3 linked regions of the Callithrix jacchus genome follow. The protein of the gene in region 2 interacts with the protein of the main gene of each other region in a pairwise test. Links are inferred from orthologs where the notes say so. Each region holds a gene or a part of one and is shown on either strand. Other genes may lie near its edges.

Region 1 (7,556 bases), on a different chromosome or scaffold from region 2:
CGGCAACACGGCAAAACCCCATCTTCACAAAAAAATACAAAAATTAGCCAGGTGTGGCAGTGTGTGCCTATAATCTCAGCTACTCAGGAGGCTGAGGTGGGAGGATCACTTAAGCTGGGGAGGTAGAGGTTGAAGTAAGCCAAGATCGCACCACTGCACTCCAGCCTGGTGAGACCCTGTCTCAAAACAAACAAATAAAACAAACCAAACAAACAAAAGAAACCTTACTGATGGCTTCCAACTTCACAAGATAAAATTCAAATTCCTTAGCTTAACATATATAAAAACTGTCCACAAACCAGTTGTCTCTCCAGACATGCCCTGCTACTTCCCATCATGTTCTTATTTAGTCTTTCCTGATTATGTCATTTACCTTTTTAACTTGAGTGTCAAGGGCAATACCTGATCTATAGTAGGCATGATATATTTGTGCAATAGATAAGATAGAACTTAGATTCACAGATGCAGTGAAATAGATAACAGTGGGACATTCCATCCATATTGAGCAAAAGCAGCAGTCCAGTCTGGCTAAAGAATAAAGAAGATAAAAGATTATGGTAGACAATCCAGTCAGAAAAGCAGGATAAACCAGAAATCAATCGCTGTCAATTCCGTGATAAAAAGTATGCATTTTAGCATAGGCCAAATTCCAAAGACATCAACAGTTCTTCCAAGTGTGACATGTTAAGAGGTAGCCAAAAACTCGTGAGATTTGAGAAACAGACGGTGAGGTGAGGGGTAGTGAATTCAATTAAGAAATTATCACAGTAGTCTGAGAAAGGAGACTTAGAGAAGTTGGAGGAGGGAACAGACTAGAAGAATATGTTAAAAGGAATTGAACATAAAGGCTCTACCTGAGTGTGGGCAGTAATACAGAGAAGCCAGAGATGATTCTAACATTTCAAACCAGTCAAATGCAGTAATAAAGCCATTAAGAAAAACTTAAATGGTAGGTGGAGGACAGAAGTGATAGTTTTAGTTTGTATATCCCCTCACCTATTTATTCAAATTGAGTGGCCACTAGGTATCTAGCACTGTACGCATGGGGAATAAAATGAGGGTAAGATACTATCCCTGTTCTCAAACAGCATCCAATCTAGTTATAGACAAGTAAATAGGAACTTAAAACTCACACAGCTAGGATGGGGCGCGAAAAGAAAACAAAGGAGTAATATCCAACTCAGCCCTGATGTGATAGTCCAGGTTGAGTAAGTCTAGAAGGATGAGTAGTGTTGGATCAGGCAAAGAAAGGTGAGGGGACTAGCATGTCCAAAGAGCCTCAGGTAAGAGTAAGAGAGCACAAGTTGGATGCATCTATAAATAATTCAATAGTGAATCAAAAGAAATCAAGATATGGAGATATCCACATGAAATGTCCAGCAGGCAGGTAAAAATGTAGGTTTGGAGCTACGGACAACATATCCAGATATGAAATACACTGTATTTTCAATCTTGTCTTAGAATCATAGTTATTGGCTATTTAAGAATTGGAAGAACCTTACACATTAGCTAGATTATGTATACTTCCACCTTCTTCTATCACTTACTGCAAAAGTATCTCTACCTTAAATTCAAAAGTTGGTTTACGTAAATAAACAAAGAGGACAAGTGGGGGTTGTGGTAAGGTGGAGATACATGCCTTGTCTAAAGAGGACAACCATTTACTCACCTCCAGCAGTTTAGTGCCTTGCTGGAATACAGGCCCTAACTAGCAAGAACTTCCTATTCTTCAAGAAAAGCTGAAAATTCAGATTTTATGTAATATCTCCCATTTTCAAATGCCAGCAACTAATTACATTTAAAAATAAAACAACACTGTGCCAGCCAAACAAAATGCTTCTAGGGACAGATTTCAGCAAGGGCCACCAGCATGGCAGAATTAAACAAGGTCTGTCAACTCCTACAGTATTCTTCCACTACTTCAAAAGATCCTAAGCTGATAGCTTGGTGATTCCCCCGGGATAGGAGCTGTTTTTGCCTCTAAGCAAAATGGCCCCTATTTGGCAATGCTTTATGAGTTCCTTTACAGGTTTTTAAACAATTTCCCTGTCTTCCCTTACCCTACCTGGACATCAGCTTCTGGCAGCACAGAGACCTCCTAAACCCCTTCCATTACACGCTAAGAAGTCAAACTTGCAGGTAAAGCAAAAGTAAGTAGTGAGAACCTGACGGGATTTCTAAGGATTAAAGTACATAAGACATATGGCGGCTGGGTGCAGTGGCTCACGCCTGTAATCCTAGCACTTTGGGAGGCCGAGGTGGGTGGATCACCTGAGGTCAGAAGTTCAAGACCAGCCTGGCCATCATGGTGAAACCCCATCTTATTTAAAAAAGAAAAGAAAAGGATATATGGCATCTTTTTGGTTTTCTTTAAAAAAAAAAAAAAGAAAAATCACATAGGTGTTCGTGACTAGTCAGACACCTGAAGGGGAAAATGTCAGTAACTTAAGTCAGAAATACATAAGCAAATTCTCCTAACAAACCAAATAGTTTCCACTGTAAGATAGCAAGAGGGACAAGAGAACAGGGCAAAGGGGAAAGTAAAAGTTACTGGCCTTTAAGCACTATCAGACACCTTTTAATGCTTAGCATAAAAGGTACAACATAATCTCCATTCTTAGTAGAAGCAAAACTATATGTTAACTAATTAACATGAAAGAGTCTTCGAGCAGCAAGAAACAGATTTAGAAACACTCTTAGATGAGTAAAGCAATCTTTGTAGAAAAGGTAAATGAAGAAAAGGAAACAAAAATAGTCTAGTACACTGTTGCTCTAGAAGCTTTAAAAATGTAACATTTCCTAATTATACTAAAACATTTAAAAACACAGCAAACTTAAACATACAAAGACTAAAAATTCTTAACAAGCCAAATGACAGCACCAAGAATCTCGAATGCCGCAAAAACAAAACAAAACCCCTGAAATTGGTAGCATGTGCACCAGCCCCTGTTAATCCGAGGAGCAGGGGAGATCAGGAGAACAGAGAGTGATTACTGAGGACGAGCGGAGCAGGCCACGCTCCTGCTGGCAGGCGAGCTCGCAATTCCTTAGAGCAAGCGTTACGGCCAGGGCATTCTCAAGCCACTAAAACGAGCATACTGGACACCTAAAACATGAGGCTGACAACAGCTCCGGGCTAAGACCGAGAAGGCGGAAAAGTGGCCTGCTTTGACCTCCACTGAAAACTGAGGCTTCTCCAACCGTTGTCTCGGAATCAAAGGGCAAAGCATTCACCTCTCGGGGTTGGATTATTCGGAGCAACTGCCCGCGGCTCCCCGCGGCCTTCCCACACTACGGGTGGATGTCAACACTGAGAGCCAGCCGTGTGGGGGACCTCCCCGTGTGCGCCGTCCTTTCGGAGACGCGGCGAGACAGGGAAGAAAGACGGCCCTGCGCGCGCGCCCCGCCTCCCCAGCCCTTCCCCTGCGCCTGCTCGGCGCCCGCGCTGGGGGGCTGCGGCCGGGAAGCGGGGTCCGGCGTGCTCCTCACCTTTTTCAGGGCAGGCACCAGCAGTCCTCGCCACTTGGGCGCGTTCTCTTCGCTGAAAAACTCGTAGGGCAGCTGCTGCGCCTGCATGGTGCCCCCAGGGCGCCTCTGGGCGGGGAGAGGGGCGGCGGCGGCCCGGCCGGGGAGCCGCGAGAGGGCGAGCTCGCTGCGCGGAATAGGGCCGCGGCCCCACCGGACGGCCCGGCCCCCTCCGGGCGCCGCGCAGCCGGGCTAGCCCTGGCGAGGGGGCTGAAGGGCGAGGCCCACGCCCAGCCACCCACCCGACACGGGTACTAGCCGTGGAGAACGAATGCGACCCGGAGGCGGCGGCATCCCGCACCACCGCCCCGGGGCCAGGCCCCCCCGCCCCTCCCTGGCCCGCCGGCGCCGCCCCGGGCGGCCCGCTACACCGCCGCCGCCTGCCGGGGCTGCACTCCCGGGTCCGGCCTGGCCCCGCGGCAGAGCTGGCGGCTGGGGGAGGACGTGTGGAGGGACGCTCTGGCCGCGGCGCCCGCTCCGCGCAGTTGAGACTCCGAAACGCAAGAGCCCTCGGGTGGGGCGGAGCTGGGGGAGGGGGTTTCGCGGGGAAGGGGAAGGACCCGAGGTCGTTGTTGGGGAATCTGGCTGCCCTGAGGTGCCGCCGCTGCCGCCGCCGGTGTAGCGCTGGAGCTTCCTACTAGCAAACTGAACCTGCGCGCTACTGAGCATGCGCTGCCGGGCTGGGCTGGTTCGCTCCGGGTTTTCCGGCTCCCGGTGAAGGAGGAGGGAAGCTGGGGGCGGGGGGAGTGGGGAAGGGAGGCAGGGCGCCTGACCGGGCTGTGGTTGCGCTCCTGGGGACTCCTGAGGAGGGGCGAAAGGGCCCGAGAAATCGAACCCTGGCAAAGTGGGGCCTGCAGAGGGGGTAAGAACTACGGTAAAGAAGCCCCCACTGTGTGGTCTAGCCGTGAGGGCTCCTACCCCTCTCTGAGTCCCTGGGCCTTTCGTTTCGGAAAGGGGCGTGTGTACTTTGTTCCCGAACACAAAGATAAGGACTGCCCAGCACGCAATGTATAGTAAACAGACCGGACAAAATATACAGGTGCTCTGTCTCGAAACCTACTGCTAAGTATCTGCTGGGCAATAGAAGTGATCGCAGTGTTTTTAACTGGTCTTTCCACGTCATCAAGAATAAAATGTGTACATGTAGTATTGATTTTCTGTGTGTGTTAGATTGCATTTGTTCATCTTTTCAACCCTCTCCAAATATGAATTCCAATAAGCACTTTCCTCCAATGGATACTGAGACCTCTTCTAAAGCTCCCAGAACACTGCACTTATTCCTCTCTCAGGGCATTTGGTCTATAGTGTTTTGTATCTTTTGTGGTTCTTTCAACTACATAATAAACTGGAAGGCAGATTTTTTTCACCAGGTCCTCCACACAGAACAGGCACTCAGTGAAAGTGGAATGCTAAAGGACCGGTATATATAAACTGTCCCTCCAGGCCACTGTTTATAATAGTGGCACTTTGTGGCAGACACCTCATGGTTTATCATTAATGATCACTTCTGGAGTATCATCTGATTTAATCCCCATAGCAACCCTATTATTTTCATTTCACCGATAAGAATGCAGTTTAGAGGAACTAGCTTGGGTTGAAGCTGACATTGTGTCCTGCTATTCCTAAGAACAACAGCCAGGATCACGTAGATGAGAAATGTTCAGTGGTTCATAATCTTTACAGGACCTCTGTGAAAATCTGAAAAAGAAAAAAAAAAAAGAAAGTCTTCAGTTATTTCCTTTAAAAATATACAGGCCAGTGGGCAAGGTGGTTCATGCCTTATAATGCCAGCACTTTGGGAGGACAGGGTAGGTGTATCACCTGAGGTCAGGAGTTCGAAACCAGCCTGGCCAACATGGTGAAACCTTGTCTTTGCTAAAAATAGAAAAATTAACTGGGCATGGTGGTGAGCACCTGTAATCCCACCTACTTGGGAGGCTGAGGCAGGAGAATCCCTTGAACCCAGGAGGCAGAGGTGGCAGTGAGCTGCGATTGTGCCACTGCACTCCAGCCTGAGCAACAAAATGAGACTCCATCTCAAAACACGCACACACACACACACACACCAGCCAGGCGCAGTGGCTCACACCTGTAATCCCAACACTTTGGAAGACTGAGGGGTTTGAGCCCAAGAGTTCGTGACCAGGCTAGCAAGACCCATCTCTACTTTTTTACTTTAGAAATGAAAACATACATACATGATTTACATTTGAAAAACTCTTCACTTTCAAAGCGTTTGGAATGATGTTCTGAAATCCATCCATAAATCCTTTGGATAAGAAGATGTAGAGAAACTCCAGCTTGGAGAGGAGCTGGGGGCATGAGAAGGGGTCTCAGAAGAATATATTAGCTCTCTTCAAATATTTAAAGGCTTGTGATTTGGGGGAAAAGATTGGTTTGTATGGTTCCAAATGAACCAAGATCAAGCCCGTACCACAAACTATTGCTTGGCCTCCCATTGCTCTTAGAATACATTTTGGGCCCGGCGCGGTGGCTCAAGCCTGTAATCCCAGCACTTTGGGAGGCCGAGGCGGGTGGATCACGAGGTCAAGAGATCGAGACCATCCTGGTCAACATGGTGAAACCCCGTCTCTACTAAAGATACAAAAAATTAGCTGGGCATGGTGGCGCATGCCTGTAGTCCCAGCTACTGGGGAGGCTGAGGCAGGAGAATTGCCTGAGCCCAGGAGGCGGAGGTTGCGGTGAGCCGAGATTGCGCCATTGCACTCCAGCCTGGGTAACAAGGGTGAAACTCCGTCTCAAAAAAAAAAAAAAAAAGAATACATTTCAAACTTCTTCCGTACACCACAAAGGCATGCATCTGGCTCCTGCTCACGTTCAACGTTTTTTCACCATTCACAGCCTTGCTTCACCACACTCCAGTCACACTGGCCTTCTATCTATTCCTAGAAAACAACAACCTGCCTCAAGAACATTGTTCTTCTCTCAGCCCAGAACTCCTAACTGTTCACTTGGATGGTTATAAACATCACAACCTCCCAGAGGCCTTCTCCTATCACTCCAAGTAATTCTCACCTGTGTATTTCTACTGTATGTCCTTTTTATTTCCTGCTAGCACTAAATCAAATCAGGCCTTTGTTTTTGGTTGTTGGTTTCCCTTTTGCCTCCAAATAGAATATAAACTCCTAGAGACCGACAATCTTTTTTTTTTTTTTTTTTTTTTGAGATGGAGTTTTGCTGTTGTTACCCAGACTGGAGTGCAATGGTGCAATCTCGGCTCACCGCAACCTCCACCTTCTGGGTTCAAGCAATTCTGCCTCAGTCTCCCGAGTAGCTGGGACTACAGGCGCGCACCACCATGCCCAGCTAATTTTTGTATTTTTAGTAGAGACAGGGTTTCACCTTGTTGACCAGGATGGTCTCGATCTCTTGACCTCGTGATCCACCCACCTCGGCCTTCCAAAGTGCTGGGATTATAGGCGTGAGCCACCGCGCCGGGCCGGAGACCGACACTTTTTGAGACAGAATATCACTTTGTCGCCCAGGCTGGAATGCAGAGATCTTGGCTCACTTGCTACCATTACCTCACAGGTTCAGGTGATTTTCCTGCCTCAGTCTCCAGAGTAGCTGGGACTACCGGTGCACGCCACCACGCCCGGCTAATTTTTGTATTTTTAGTAGAGACGCGGTGTCAGCATATTGGTCGGGCTGGTCTCGAACACCTGACCTTGTGATCCGCCTACGTCCGCCTCCCAAAGTGCTGGGATTACAGGCGTGAGTCACCGCCCTTGGCCAAGAGCAACAATCCTGTGCGTTTCGTTCATCACCGGTTTTAATCGTATCCCCAGGACCTACAATGTCTGCACACAGTAGGTAGCAACAAATATTGAAGGAATGAAACTTGCATGCAGGAAACTTCCAGGATTACATAATTAACGTTGATCCCAGGAAACGGGAGATTTTCGGGGTGTGCAAGTAAAATTCGTACGTTCACTCACTAGGGCCAAGGGGTTGGGGATGCTGACCTCTAAGGTCCCCTTCAACTCCGAATCTCTGATTTGACTGCAGAG
Region 2 (7,556 bases):
ACTTCCAGGGCTCAAGTGATCTACCTCAGCCTCTAGAGTAGCTGGGACTACAGGCATGTGCTACCATGCCCTGCTAATTAAAAAAAATTTTATTTACAAATAAATAAATAAATTTTATTTTAAATTACAAAATTTAAAAGGTCTTGCTTTGTTGCCCATGCTGGTCTCAAACTCCTGGCCTCAAGCAATCCTCCCTTCTGCCTTGGCCTCCCAAAAGACAGATTACAGGCATCAGCCACCATGTCTGTCCCCTTCTGTATACTTTGTTATTATTTATATATTTATTTATTTTGAGACTGGTCTTGCTGTCACCCAAGCTGGAGGGCAGTGGTGCAATCTCAGCTCACTGCAACCTCTGCCTCCTGGGCTCAAGCAGTCTTCCGATTTCAGTCTCCCAAATAGCTGGGACTACAGGCATGAGCCACCACATTTGGCTAATTTTCAGTAGTTTCTGCAGAGCTAGTGTTTCCCCATGTTGCCCAGGCTGGTCTTGAACTCCTGAGCTCAAGCAACCCACATGCCTTGGCTTCCCAAAGTGTTGAGATTACAGGTATGAGCCACCACGGGCAGCTCCTTCTGTATACTTTAAATCATCTCTAGATTTCTTACCTGCAATACCTAATGTAATGCAAATAGGTACATAGTTGTTACATACTGTATTTTTTTTTTTTCTAGAGAAAGAGGCAGTCTCACTTTGTTGCCCAGGTTGGTCTTGAACTCCCAGCCTCAAGTGATCCTCCTGCCTCAGCCTCTCAAAATGCTAGGATTACAGGTGTGAGCCACCATGCTTGGCCATGTATTTTTAAATATAGATTTAAAAAATTGTTGTGTTTTTTTCCCCCAAATATTTTCTGTCTTTGGTTAGTTGAATTTACATATGTGGAACTCAAGAGGCTACGGAAGGTCGACTGGTTATTTTTCTTATTTTAACTTTAGAAACACTACTGGGATTAGCACTATAGCTGGCCCAGATCTCCAAAAAATAAGATGACGAAAGTCTGAACTGATGTTCTTAGGCAGCTGGGCTATGTCTCATAGGTACATTTTGAACCATTATGTTGGTCTAAGCTTAAGCAGAAATGTACTTCGGAGTTTGCTGATGAGAATGGAGAGGACGGGGTGCTACCAGCTGATGAGAATGGAGAGCACGGGGTGCTGCCAGCTGATGAGAATGGAGAGGACGGGGTGCTGCCAGCTGATTAGAATGGAGAGGACGGGGTGCTGCCAGCTGATGAGAATGGAGAGGACGGAGTGCTGCCAGCTGAGATGCATTTCTCATGGTCAGGGCTGACCCCACGGTTCTCTGTTTTATTTCAAACCCTCTCACTTTATTCAGAGCTAGGAAGTACCTGCCAGTTGGAGGGTCAATTCAAAGCCACCAGGGAACACTGGTGGCTCATGTGTCACAAAGTGACGCCTATGGCTATCTTGTCCCTGGCTTCATCTATCATTGGAAAACCAAAAGCAACTATACTTTAGCAAGGAGCTTTGAAACGCCTCTCACAGGCGTTTCAAACGCTGACTCATCCTTGATTTAAAGAGCAATGAACAGGTCTGACCTTTTTAGAAACAAACCATGGCACTACCTCCAGGAGACAATGGACTATAGTGCCAGCGGGGTATGGGGTGGTGCCTTGCCCAAGGAGTAACCCTCTAGCCTAGTTTCTGACAAAACCACCAGAAGCAAATTTATTTATTTATTTTGAGAAGCGGGGGGGGGGGGGGGGGTCTAGCTGTATTGCTCAGGCTGGTCTTGAACTCCTGTCCTCAAGTGATCCTTGCGTCCTGGCCTCTCAAAGAGCTGGTATTACAGATATGAGCCACCACGTCATACTAGACACAGGTGTTATAAGGTGGCTTTGATGACAGGTTCTCAGAAAGAAGCCCCTTTCTTAAGCAAAATTGTCCACAAATTTTGGACAACTGGTGGACAATTTTGTTTAAGCGGATGGGCCACAGGCCTCCCTCGAGAACATGAGAACGTTCTGCATTTCTGGAGGGAGGGAGACGTTGGCAGCCATGTGCTCACCTGCTTTGCCAAGGTCATTCTTCGTGTTCCCCTGACATCACAGTGGCCCTGACATAAAAGCAGAAGCGTGCCCCTTCAGTTTGGCTTTGTCGGGTGCTGTGTCTGCCAGGCAAGCTTGACCTCCCTACTCGTTGATGGTGGGCAGAAAGTCTCACTAATTCACAAATTCCTGGCCAGAGCGTGCCCATCAACAGCGGTTGCACTTGCCACCTCCTTAAAAAGGCTGTGTCAGCCCACTGGCATCCCAGCTCAATGCATTCTCCATGCTGCCTCGGTATTCAGGTAGGACCGCGGCACCTCTGTGTTTGGGTATGGGGCGCGCCCAGAGGGGCCGCAGCCTTCGGCCATGCAGTTGCGCACGGAACTGCAGCTGGTTCTCCTCTCTGCACTCCTGCGTCTACGTGAGCACACATTTTAGTTTCCTTTTCTGGGGAAATCTTTGAGGAGGCCCCATTCCCAAGGGTTGCCCAAGGGGAGGAATGTGGTTTGGTAAGTACAGGGGTTCGGCAAGTCTTTTTACTGGTTGAGGGTCACTGAGCGCAGGTTTCTGAAAGCGACTTCAGCGTGAAAGCACCCCACATTCCCACCGCACACTCAACGCGCCTCGGGGGAGGGAGGGAGAAGGGGACTCCCGAAAGCCGGAGGCTTGCGTTGCGTAGTTGAGATATATCCGGGCTGCTAAGTGACAAGGGGGTGGGTGCTCTCCTATTTTGCCACCTCGGAGATGTGGAGGGAGCTGGGGTTTTGTGACGGAGACCTGGGTAGCTGGGACTGGCCGGGGAACGCGCGGCCGGGGCGGGACGGGGGCGGAGCGGGCGCTGCGCTGACGGCCGCTGCAGAAAGGGGGCGGCCGCGCCCATTTCCTCTGCTCCGCTGCGGCCGGAGCGATCCGCATCGGCGAGCTGCGTCTCCCGGGTGTCGGCTCCCGCGGCTCCCCGACAGTGCCCGGCTGTGGCAAGGCGGCTCCAGCCGAGCCTGTGGCGGCTGCGATTCCCGGGGCGCTCCGGAACCCAGTGCGCTGCGCGCGTGCCGGCTGCCCGCATGGACGCGGCGCTGAAGCGGAGCCGCTCGGAGGAGCCAGCCGAGCTTCTGCCGCCTGCCCGGGACGAGGAAGAAGAGGAGGAGGAGGAAGAGGGGATGGAGCAGGGGCTGGAGGAGGAAGAAGAGGTGGACCCCCGGATCCAGGTAGGGCGCGCGGAGTCGCCCCGCATCCGGGCTTCGCCGGGGATGCTGCGGAGTCGGCGTCTAAGCGGACACCCACTTCGCAGCCCCCAGTGACTGTGGTCCGGGGACTGGCGACCGCGTAGCTCTGGTGGCAAGAGAGGGTCTGTATACTCCATTTCATCGTCTCCACAATGAAGGCTGCAATGCCCGCGTGGATGCGGCCTGACTCTATTGCGGGCAGCCCCCCGCAGACCCCTAGCAGGATCGGGGTCGCCGCAGAGTGCCTAGTGGTTTGGGCTGTTGTGCAACAAAGGGAAAAAGGGGGCGGGGGCGCCCTGCTATCCTCGGGGTGCCCCTGGCCCGGCCACGGCGCCGCGGGGATGGCACGGCCTCCACGCTCTGCGAGGAGGGGTCGCCTGCGTGGGCGGCGGGCACCGTGGGCGGGTGGGCGTTGCCCGCCCCTGCGGCGTGGGCTGGCCCCAGTGCCCCGGTGCAGCGTCCTCACCTGCCGGAGGTGCTCGGCCTGAGCCGTTTTCCTTCTCTGATTCATTGTTAGCGAACTCAGCGGCTTATTGTCACCACCGGTGCAACGTTCTGTCTGGCCTGAAATTGCTTAAAACCCTGCTTTCCCTTGTTGTGAGGTTGGGCATGAACAGAAATCAGGGACAACTGCTGCGCAAAGCTGATGCGTGGAGGCGGCGAGGGGATTGGGCTGGCTTTCTGTGCCTCCATTTCCAAGAGAGATCTAGGAGTGACAGTTTAACCTCTTCACCCCTAAACAAAAAGCAGAGCAAATCCCTTTCCAAGACCCGTTTTCCCCAACCCTTTCAATAAATCATTTTTTAAAAATGGATTTTAAAAATGCTCTGTAATTTCTGGATCCTTAATTGCTTTTTGGTGCGCAGATCAATTTACAAGCTCACTTAACTCAGTGGTTGGGGTTTAAATGAATTGTCAGGTTAGCAACATAAAGATCAGGTGGGGAAAAAATCCTTGCATTAGGAATGCTGTAATTAAAATAATTGGTTTGGAATAAATCGCATGTTATTGGTGTGGAATTATGTTAGCAAGATCCTTTGTTTGCATAGTAAAGACGAATTAAGTTCATGTTGGATGTTTTTCACAAAATGTCAGTTTGTAAATTTTTTTTTAAAGGAAGAGAATTAAGGCTAGTTTAAAACAGCCAGCTAAGTAGGTTGAATAATTGGCAGTGTCAAAAGATTTTTACCCTTTACAGAAAAATAATTCTGATGAGTTAATACCAGAATTCTGCCCTTGATTTCACTGGATTTATATTTTTGGCTTGGCCTTGCTTATTGTCTTTTATTGTTTTCTAAGCAAAGTTCTTGCTCAAGGCAGATGGTACTGTTTTGATTAGGCCATTAAGCCATTTGTAACAGGTGGGGTTTACTTGAAGGCACATACCTGGAATATTTGACCTCAAATTCCAAATGTCCCTTAAGACATTTTCAAAAGGGACACCGTCAAGAAAATGGTTTCAGAAATGCTGACATTCATTTGCTTTTCTAGCCAAGCTTCAGCTGTTTGCCTTAAGAATTAGTACTGGTTCTTCATTTGTCCTGCAAATTGGGCTGGGGTAATTTTTCAGGTTATGGACTGAGTTATACTGGAAACAAAAGATGGATCCCTTAAGTCTTTTTTTCTCCCTCTTTTCTTCACCAGGGAGAACTGGAGAAGTTAAATCAGTCCACGGATGATATCAACAGACGGGAGACTGAACTTGAGGTACAGAGAGCTGAGTTCCTGTTCTTGAAGTGGTGTCACACCGGCACAAAGCTGGTTAATTTCGTGTTCTGACTGGAGGGTTATTGCTGGACTCCCCTCCTTGCGAGTTGAGCGACAGCTCCCTGTCTCACAGAATAAAATACACCACTGAGCTCAACCTGTGGGCGGAACGCATGTGGATCTGATTTCACATGTTGTTTTTCATTATGGAAGCTCCATGGGGCCTAAACTGAGTCTGTGCAGAGCATTGCACAATGCTTAAGCCCGGAGTTTTAATGTGACTGCAAGGACAGAGGGGAAAATTAGCTGAACTCTTTAATGGAGAATAATGAATGAGCTCACAGAATCTCTTACATGTTCTGGGCGGTTCCTACCCTTTGTCCTGGAAAGTGTTGCGTTGTTTCCTCTGACTTAGACCATTTCTTGTCTTTCCTGTCCTAGTTTAACTCCCCCTTCTGCTTCCCCGCTCCTTTCTTTATTGTCTGCTTGTGCATAGAATATAATTATAATGGTAACGAAAAGCTGTTTAGACCGGGAAGGGCTTTCCTGCTGGGAAAAATTGTTGGAAACTAAAACCCGATTTGAATTTCGTGTACGTTTTCCAACCAGAGTGTAAACAAGTTGGCATTCCTCACAGCCTCCCTTTGGTTCCCCACCCCTTCCCAGTAGTGGTGGTTTTTTTTTTACCACCCATCAGCAAATTTGAACATTGTATATATTTGGGTGAGTGACTGTCAGAGCTCAGAAGGGACTCCCAATGCAGTGTCCCAGTACAGGCAGCTGTTGGCAAGGTCTGTTTCTGTAGCAGGAGAAATAGCAAAAGTCAGTAGAAGGGACAAGAAGCATGTGGTTTCTGAGAGCGAGGGTACAGGAGACAGGAATATCATCTGCCAGGATTCACTGGCAGCCTTGATTCTGCTGCATGCGTAGCCCCTGGAGTTACCAAATCAGGATGTAGCAAGGTGGATTAAAAAGCCTGTTGCTCTGAGCTGTGTGAAGGGTTATCGTTAACCACCTCCATTTCCATCGTAGGTGTACAAGAGCACGGGCTCTCTTTCTTCCCAAGTAAAGTAAAATCAGTGTTTATTTACGTTTCTTTCACTTACGAATTGAGTCTCTTTGTGAAGTGAGTAACTGGAACCTCTTGGAAGCTCAGATTTCTAATGCATTAAACAACAAAACCTCTATCATTCCTGTAGGGCTTTAGCATTTATAGAGTGTTTTTTTTACGCTTTATTCCAGTCCATTTTGTCATACCAGCTGTTCTGTCCTATATGGTAGCCATGTGCAATGTGTGGCTATTTGAATTTAATGCAAAAAAAATTTTTTTGAGACAGAGTCTTGCTCTGTTTAGGCTAGGGTGCAGCGGTGCGATGTCTGCTCATTGCAGCAGCCGCCACCTCCTGGGCTCAGGTGATTCTCATTCCTCAGCTTCCTGAGTAGCTGGGACTACAGGTGTGCACCACCACGTCTGGTTAATGAAGTCAATTAAAATGAAGTAAGACTAAAATTCAGTTCCTCAGTCACAATAGCCACCTTTCAAGAGCCCAGTTGCCACTCTATTAAATTACTGTCATCATAGAATGTTCTGGCCTGGAGAACAAGGAGGGTAGGGACTATTTGCTTTCCAGATGAGGACTCAGAGGCTCAGCATCTCGTGGTTCTATGATGCATCAGAGCCATGCCTCCCATCCTCCAGCCATGCTTCCTCCCAGGCATTTTCCAGGTCTCTTCTGGTTCCTCTGTCCTGTTATCCCCAGTGCTGGGGTGCAATCACAGCTCACTGCAACCTCAAACACCTGGGTTCAGGCAATCCTCCTGCATCATCCTCCCCAGCAGCTGAGACTACAGGTGCATGCCACCATACCCGGCTATTTTTTCATATGTTTAAACGTTTTTGTAAAGATGGGGTCATGTTGTATTGACCAGGTTGCTCTTGAACTCCTGGCCTCAAAGTGATCCTGCCACCTTGGCCTCCCAAAGTGGTGGGATTATAGGCAGGAGTTGCCATAACCAGCCTGGAAAGTCTTCTCCCCCCTCCCCACCAAAGCATTGATTGATTCTAATTGCTCGCCTACTATGTGCCAGCCACTGTTCTGGGTAATGAACAAGATGGCCCATGCATGTCTCAGCCTCCAGAGTGCTTACCTTCCTGGGGTGAAATTGGTTAATCTGTTAAACTCTTTTTAGCCCTGACTTCTGAATCTCATTTTGGAATACTCTTAGGTATTTGTGTGTCACAGGAAGCCACCGGACAGGTGCTTCCTGCCTGAGTCTGGAGAGCATTTGGACTGTGTGAGAGGCGAACTGGAGGGTGTGAGGGGGTGGCCAGGGCTGGGCCGGGTTGCTGGCTGGCCTTTTCACGGTATTACAACCCAGACTGACTCATAGAAATATAATATGGGCTACATAAGCAATGAAAAACTCCCTAGCAGCACATTAAAAAGGAAAAAGTAACAGCTGAAATGAATTTATTTTGTTTAACCCGAAATATCTGAGACAGTACAATTTCAACATGGACTTGCTATTAAAAAATTATAGATATTTTGCATATATTTTTGCATTAAGTCTTTAAGATCTACGGCATATTTTACACCTAGGGCACATTTGAGTTGAG
Region 3 (7,556 bases), on a different chromosome or scaffold from region 2:
ATAAACTCTTTTGACTGCTATACTTCAAAAGAAAACCAGGGTCAAGAACCACATCTGTAGAAAAAAAAAAGTCTCATATAAATTCTAGTCAACAATAAAAGAATGGATCACTTTTACAAAGCCATCGTATGAAGGCATCAGAAATAGTATTTCAAGAACCTGTATCAACAATGGAAACAAGGGCTGGGCTCAGTGGCTTACACCTGCAATCCCAGCACTTTGGGAGGCTGAGGCGGGTGGATCACAAGGTCAAGAGATCGAGACCATCGTGGCCAACAAAGTGAAACCCCATCTCTACTAAAATACAAAAGTTAGCTAGACATGGTGGCACGAGCCTGCAGTCCCAGCTACTCTGGAGGCTGAGGCAGGAGAATTGCTTGAACCTGGGAGGCGGAGGTTGCAGTGAACCGAGATGGAGCCACTGCACTCCAGCCTGGTGCCTGGCGACAGAGCGAGATTCTGTTTCAAAAATAAAATAAAATAAAATAAAATGGAAACAAGATTTTGTCTTAATTGCAGATAAGATGATTCTATTATTAACACAGTTTGTAAACCATATTCTAAACAAATTATCAAAATCCAAGACAGGATAGAAAGGATTCTTAATTCTACTGCTGGAAATAATATGGTTATTCTTAAGATAATATAAATAAAGTGATAAGGATTTAAACATGGTTTCATACCACTTCTGAGATGTTTAAAAGTGATTTCCAAATACCACATGTGCTCACTTAAATAAGTGGGAGCTAAACCTTAAGTACACATGGACACAGACAAAGGACTAAGACACACTGAGACTTACTTGAGGCTGGAGGGTAGAGGGTGGGAGGAGGGTGAAAGTCAAAAAACTACCTATTTGGTACTATGTTCATTACCTAGGTGATGACATAATCTGTATACCAAACCCAGCACGACACACAATTTACCCATGTTACAAACCTGCACATGTAACCCCTGAACCTAAAAGTTGGAAAGAAAAAAAAAAATTGTTTCATTTCATTCTATAGAACTGTAAACCCATTTTTAAACACAAATAAAAGCATTAGTTAACATCCTCCCTTCCAACCTTTGCTTGGCTAGCTTGGGCTCACTCTTTAAATTCCTGGTTTAAAAAAATCTACCTAGAAAGACTTCCTTAACTTCTCTAAAATAAGGATATGAGCTCCTATTACATACTGGGATAGAGATATAATGTAGGTTTCCTATCACTCTAGACTAGACACTAGATACTTGGTAGGCTTTTGCTGTTGTTGTTTATGCTTCCCCACTAGATGGTAAGTTCCATAAGGGTTAAGAACTGTTTGCCATGATACAATTGTATCAGTATTTAACACCTGATCATCTAAGTACACTAAAATATTTCTGGAACAAATACTGTAATTTTTAAATTTTTTCATCCAATTGTACCAATTTCTCATCTTTAAAACAGTTATTCCATGGCAATTCAATAACTATCATAATAACCAGACAACTGGTAATTTTTTTGTTTCTCAGCCTATACATGATAAACAAGACTACAGTTTAATAAAACTTTAATGTCATGCATTCAAACATGGAAGTGTGCAAACCGAATACAGGATGTTTTCATATCATCAAGAATTTTATTATTGTGTTTTCCACAACTGAGCTAAAAATTTTCTAAAAAAGCCAATTCAAGGTTAGGTCCTCATAACTACAACATAATTACAGTACTGATTTATTGTTTATGTTCTAGCTTATCTGGATATGCATAAAACTCTGATAACTATTATGGCAAATAGAAGACTCGTGTTTTGGGAGACAAGCACTATTTTGTGTGACTTATCTTAAATACATTAATATGCATAAATATAACTATCAATGGTTGGTGATTACTTATAAAGTGGTATGGTGAGAAATTACATGATTTGTAAAAGAATTTGTTAAAATAGTTAAACTTAGGATAAAGTATGGAAAAGTAGACACCTCTGTTGATTTATAAAATTAGACTCAGGCCTTTCATTTAGCCTAAAGAAAAAGAAATGCTATTTCATCTAAAACAAGCAAAACCCTTGAGCAAACAAATAGACAAAAGTCTGTTTATGATTCAATTCACTGCATCCCTAATAGTAGTGTTTGTATATCAAGAATGAATCCAGTGACCTAATAAAGATTTCCTTTAAGTGTTTCTCATACCACTGGTCATGACCCATTAATGGATCACAAACAGCATTTGCTAAAAATGAAATGGAATAAGATATAAAATATCAGAGGACAACACATAGACTAAGGGAAAGTACTGTCTCCTGAAACTTTTGATTCAGTTGCATAAGTGACCATGTAAAATGTATTTCTAAGTATGGGCTACAATAAAAAACATGTGAAAGCTACTCTCTTGCATGTAAGCCCTCCCATTACTACTTCTCCCAAAACAGGAACTCTGCACTGCAATTACTCCCAAAAATGAAAAGTGACCTTAGTCCACGGTTCTGACAGTTTAAGTTTGATTTCACAAGCTCTAAAATCAAACTGCCTCAATTTCAACCATTTCCTGAGTGAATTTGGACTTATTTAAGCAATCTATGCTTCACTTTTGTCATCTTGTAAATGGTTAACAATATCTCCCAAGTTGCGGTTAAAATAAATTAAATAATACTACAGTGAGTCAACACCTGTTTTACTACTAACAGAACAAACTGAAGGAGTTATAATATTAGATATATAGAAAAGAACAAGTTATCTTTGGTGCATTATCTTTGATGTTTGTGAGTGTGTGATACTTTGTATTTTTCTGTCTTATTTGAATTGTGTAATGTATAATGTATACATTTCTAATATAATGTTTCTAATGTATATAACATAACCTACATTTTTAAAATAACAATGGGTATCTAGGCAGTAAGACTGTGGTCCTTTCTTTTTATTTTACAGTTTTATCTTATAAACATATGTTAGGTGTCTTTAAGAGAAAATCAATTACTTGCAAAAAAAAAAAAGAAAGAAAAAAAAGACAAGTATGGGGTCCAGAGTTTAAGAAATTCACACTTTTTGAGGGAGAACTTTGTGCCAGATACTTCTCACTAAATGCTCGTAAAACATCATTTTATGATTTCAGAAAACTGAGGCAACGGACACAAGGTAAACGGTGTTAGACAACAAACAGTAGTCACATCAAAGCCTGTATCTCTTCCATCATCATATAACACATCCAAATATTCTTCTCCAGTTGTTTCACATTGACATATTTTGGCCTCCCCATCTAGACTGTAAACTCCTTTATAAAAAGGGAAACTTTCAAAAACTTCATTTACGTCTTTCATTGGGTTACTAAGACTGCAACAGATCCTCAAACACTTGTTGAGTTGTATTCAACCTCTTTTGATCTGGAGTGTCCTCAAGAGACATACCTTTGTAAAAACAAACTTTCACACAAACAACAAAACCACTCTAAAGCTGTCCAAATCTAACTTTATTCCTGCACACTAAAAACTAAAGTGTAAACATACTCATATACAAAGACTATCAACTACAGTGAGTTTTGTAATGAGTACAAGTGTCACTGTGCAAACGCTGAAGAATTCCTTGGATTCACATATCCCCCCAACCACGCCCCCCATCACCCAGGCACCATCAAAAGAAAGGAACCTCTAGTCTTCTGGTGAGATGTTGAAGAACCATGACCACGCCCCCACTTTGTCCCATCACGATAACCTGTTTTCCTGTCCCAGCCGGACCCAGCACCCAAACCCAAAACCCGTAATAAACAATTCAAAAGTCTCTGACCTGCAGCGAAGTGCAGGGGAGAAGACTTCCGGCCGGCCATGTCCTTTGCATTTACGTTTGCCGCGTCCACCAGCCTCTTTACCCGGGACACGTCCCCATTGCGACAGGCCTCCAGCAGTTCCCGTAGGGCCCCGCTCACTGCTGGGACCCCTGTCCCAGGTCCCGCTGCCCCAGGCCCCAATGGTGCTGTGCTGCTAACGCCGGCCGCCTCCGGGCTCTCCGCCAAGCTCGATCCAGGGGAGGATGGAGAGGAAGATGAGGATGAAGTCGGGGAAGAAGAGGACGACGGTGAATTGTTACTGCCAGCTGGGTTGGGAGCGACCCCAACGGCAGATGAAGCAGAAACCGCTGGGACCACGGGAGCGGCGGCGACGGTACAGATTGTGCTGGTGGTAGTGCAACAGCTGCTACTGTCAACCGGGTCCGGGGATCGGGGCCTGTCGGGCGGATCCCGACTGCCATCCCCCTCCGGCAGCGCTAGGCCGTGCCGCGGGGAGGCGAAGGGGGCCAGGCCGCCGGCCGTGGGGGAGGCTGGGGTGGTCCCCGGGGCCAGGCCAGGACTGAGTGGGGGAGGAGGTGGCGGCGGCGGCGCTGAAGCCCCTGGGGCGGGCTGGAGCTGTTGTTGATGATGGTGGTGATGATGCTGAGAGCGACGCGACGCCGCCATCTTCGGACTCCCCTAGCACTGTCACTGCGGCAACGGCCCCACCGCCCGCCCTCACTTCCGACTGCCGGACCAATCAGCATCCAGCGCACAGGAAATGATGCTAGGCGGGGTAGGCGGGGCCAAAGAGAAGGAGGGAAGTATTGGGAGCTCAGAGAACAGCCACGGGAGCGGGGCGGGGTTTTGTCACTGTGAAGCGGGCTTTGTGACGTGATGGCGGGCCAGATGGAGAGATTTGAATACTAGAACCAGCTTCTGCCTACATGGGAAAAAATTCCTGCATTTCTCACTTTCAGTCGGCTTTTCTAGCCCTGCTCCGCTCTGTTGCGAAGTCTACCTCAGTCTCGCTTTGCTCGCTCCAGAGCTAGCTGTTGAGATGCAGCTCAGAGCAAGCCGAGAATGTGTCGATTATCATCTATCAAGCATCCTCGTCTGAAAACTGGAACTAATAGTACCAACCTCACAGAATTATTATCGGGATTAAAAGAGGTAACATAGACAAAGCGCTCTGCCAGTAAAACACAACTATAATTAGCCCGTTGGTAAGTTTTTAGATTGCAGCCTTTCTTTTCCAGGTGTCCCCTTGAGCTCTTGTCCCCTCCCTATAATGTTTCTCACCCTATGTTCTTTAATTCCTCTTTTTGAAATACTGGTTCAGATGGCTAGGATTGGCATTCCAGCTCTGCCATTTGTTGTATATATCTGAGCTAGTTCTGTCATCACTCTATACCTGTTTCTCTCTTTAAAATTGAAATAACAATAGTCCAATAAGTGTGAACTATTAAAATTATGATTTTTTTTTTCCTATTCTGTTATCTCTGAAATTTTATTTTTCACCCTAAGGTTAACTAATTATATTCTTTCTTTTGAATTTTGGTTTAGCTTACTTAGCCTCTCTCACATCCCAAGGAGATAGAAACCTGATTGTTAGGCTGGTCATGGTGGCTCATGCCTGTAATCCTAGCTCTTTGGGAGGCTGAAGCGGGAAGATCACTTGAGCTTAGGAGTTTGAGACCAGCCTGGCCATGATGACGAAACTCCATCTCTACAAAAAACACACAAATTAGCTGTGCAAAGTGGTACATTTGTAGAGTCCCAGCTACTTGGAACTCTGTGTTGAGAGGGTCACTTGAGCCCAGGAGGCAGAGGTTGCAGTGACCCGAGGTCACATCACTGCACTCCAGCCTGGGTGACAGAGGACAGAGACCCTGTCACAAAAACAACAAAACAAAACATCCTGATTGCTGTCCATCACTCACTATCAGGTGTCATTTTTCAGCAACTGTTTTTTCTGTCTTTCCCCTACCTATGTATACTTTTTTTTTTTTTTTTTTTTTTTTTTGGCCATCAAAAGATATATCAATGAATGAGATAATCGCAGTGAGGACTCCATTTCATATCTACTGTTCAATAGTAAAGCAGGCATTGTAGAAGTATACACAAACATCATTAGTCCAATAGAGTGAACACAGATGGAAATTCCATGACCTAAGAGAAATAAGACTTAGATGAGTCAAGTAGAATATTAAAGCAGGTGATAAATTTTATCATGTGTTCATCGTTAAATGTGATTTGTGTGTTGTTAATATTCCCATTTAAATAAATAGATGAGTTTATTTGGAATTACTAAATACAATAAGGTCAGGAACATAATTGGTGTTACAAGTGGCATTTATTTTCATCTAATCTAGGGTTACAGATTATAATTCTTAACATTATCCATCTGTCTGATGAAATTGTGCCACTGTTCACAGTAGACACCTGCCAAATAGTGTGGCTGGATGGGCAAACTCACATCAGTGAAACTAAAATCAGTCCACAACATTCTTTATTCTTCTGGTTTTTAATCTTAACTCCTTGATGTAGAGCAGAGTACCATTGAGAAGTAGGGGTGGACCAACATGATACGTTAGATGTTCATAACAAACCATATGTCCCCTTGATAATGGCCTCCTGGAATGGGAAGCATAAGAAATATTTGGTCTCCCAATGGCCAGTTACTCATAGAAAGAAGTACGATATAATAATAATTAGGAAGTCTCTGCTGGATAGAGATTTTTAAAAACTAAATTGACTGAAACTATGCTGGAAAACCATGTCTGGAAATGCAGTCAATCAATTGAAAATTGCTTTTTTCCCCTCCAGTAGAAAGTAGTAAAAGTACTTAACATTAAGTATTTGTAAAGTTTAAGTTTATACTTACTAAAGTTTAGCTCTAAACATGGAAGGACAGATGCCATTACCTAATCTTCTGTGGCTAAACACAATTCCATGAGGAATGCACTATTATCATAGTGGAAAGAGCAAAGCTTGGGATGGAAGAAACCTGGGCTTGAAAGTCACATCTCTGATGGTTACTAGTTGGCTAATCTTGATAGACATGCTCCAGCTCACTCAGACTAAAATTTTGATTTTACTGTAGCACTGTCAGGAAGATTAAAAGCCTAGGTGTTTTATAAGCACTCTGAATGTTAGATCCACTCTCTTCCATGGCATGCATAAAGTGTTGACACGAACTCACAGCCACTATTGATAGCGTTCCCCTCTCAACTTCCTCTGTGACAAAGATAGGGGCTTGGAATAAATATCCATCATTTTGCACATAACAGGAATCTAAAGCAATGTAACATAGATTTAAGATAATTCAGGATTCTTTATAAAACCTATCTCCAAACTATTGTTGATCACAGTTGTGTAGCATCTTATTTTCAAAAGTGTTTTCACAAAAATCATATGTTGGCCGAGTACAGTGGCTCACACTTAAAATCCTAGCATTTTGGGAAGCTAAGGCAGGAGATTGCTTGATCCCAGGAAACCAAGATCAGCCTGGACAACAAAGTGAGACCCTGTGTACACACACACACACACACACACGCGCGTGCGCGCAAAGTATACCCAAGTACTACAAAAATGGGAGCACACAGCACTCTCACGCTGTACTGTTGACACAAAAGAAAAGCCACCAACTTAAAGGACACCCATGTTTTGGACTGTGTTCTCATGTTTGCTTTTTTTCCCTCTGGGGGTCACATGGATGCTCTGAAAATTACACAGTGATGAACTTGAACAAGTTCCATATTTCAATTAGAATTGGTATGTCATTCCATCCGTATACTTCCCATTGATCTTCCACAGTATTTGGTATTCTGGT

The links.
Region 1: the proteins of SH3BP5 (region 2) and SOS1 interact in a two-hybrid assay, tested with the Homo sapiens proteins (2 studies listed by BioGRID and IntAct). The link is inferred for Callithrix jacchus from reciprocal best matches to the Homo sapiens genes SH3BP5 and SOS1.
Region 3: the proteins of SH3BP5 (region 2) and TNKS interact in a two-hybrid assay, tested with the Homo sapiens proteins (2 studies listed by BioGRID and IntAct). The link is inferred for Callithrix jacchus from reciprocal best matches to the Homo sapiens genes SH3BP5 and TNKS.

The regions. Positions count from the first base shown.
Region 1 is NC_133515.1:75,895,859-75,903,414, reverse strand, and holds the start of SOS1 (son of sevenless homolog 1), read right to left. Parts: upstream 4,013-7,556; 5' UTR 3,577-4,012; coding exon 3,490-3,576; intron 1-3,489.
Region 2 is NC_133518.1:54,143,119-54,150,674, reverse strand, and holds the start of SH3BP5 (SH3 domain-binding protein 5), read left to right. Parts: upstream 1-2,896; 5' UTR 2,897-3,070; coding exon 3,071-3,214; intron 3,215-4,876; coding exon 4,877-4,939; intron 4,940-7,556. UniProt on the Homo sapiens protein: Functions as a guanine nucleotide exchange factor (GEF) with specificity for RAB11A and RAB25. Inhibits the auto- and transphosphorylation activity of BTK. Plays a negative regulatory role in BTK-related cytoplasmic signaling in B-cells.
Region 3 is NC_133514.1:30,238,909-30,246,464, reverse strand, and holds the start of TNKS (poly [ADP-ribose] polymerase tankyrase-1), read right to left. Parts: upstream 4,435-7,556; 5' UTR 4,409-4,434; coding exon 3,742-4,408; intron 1-3,741.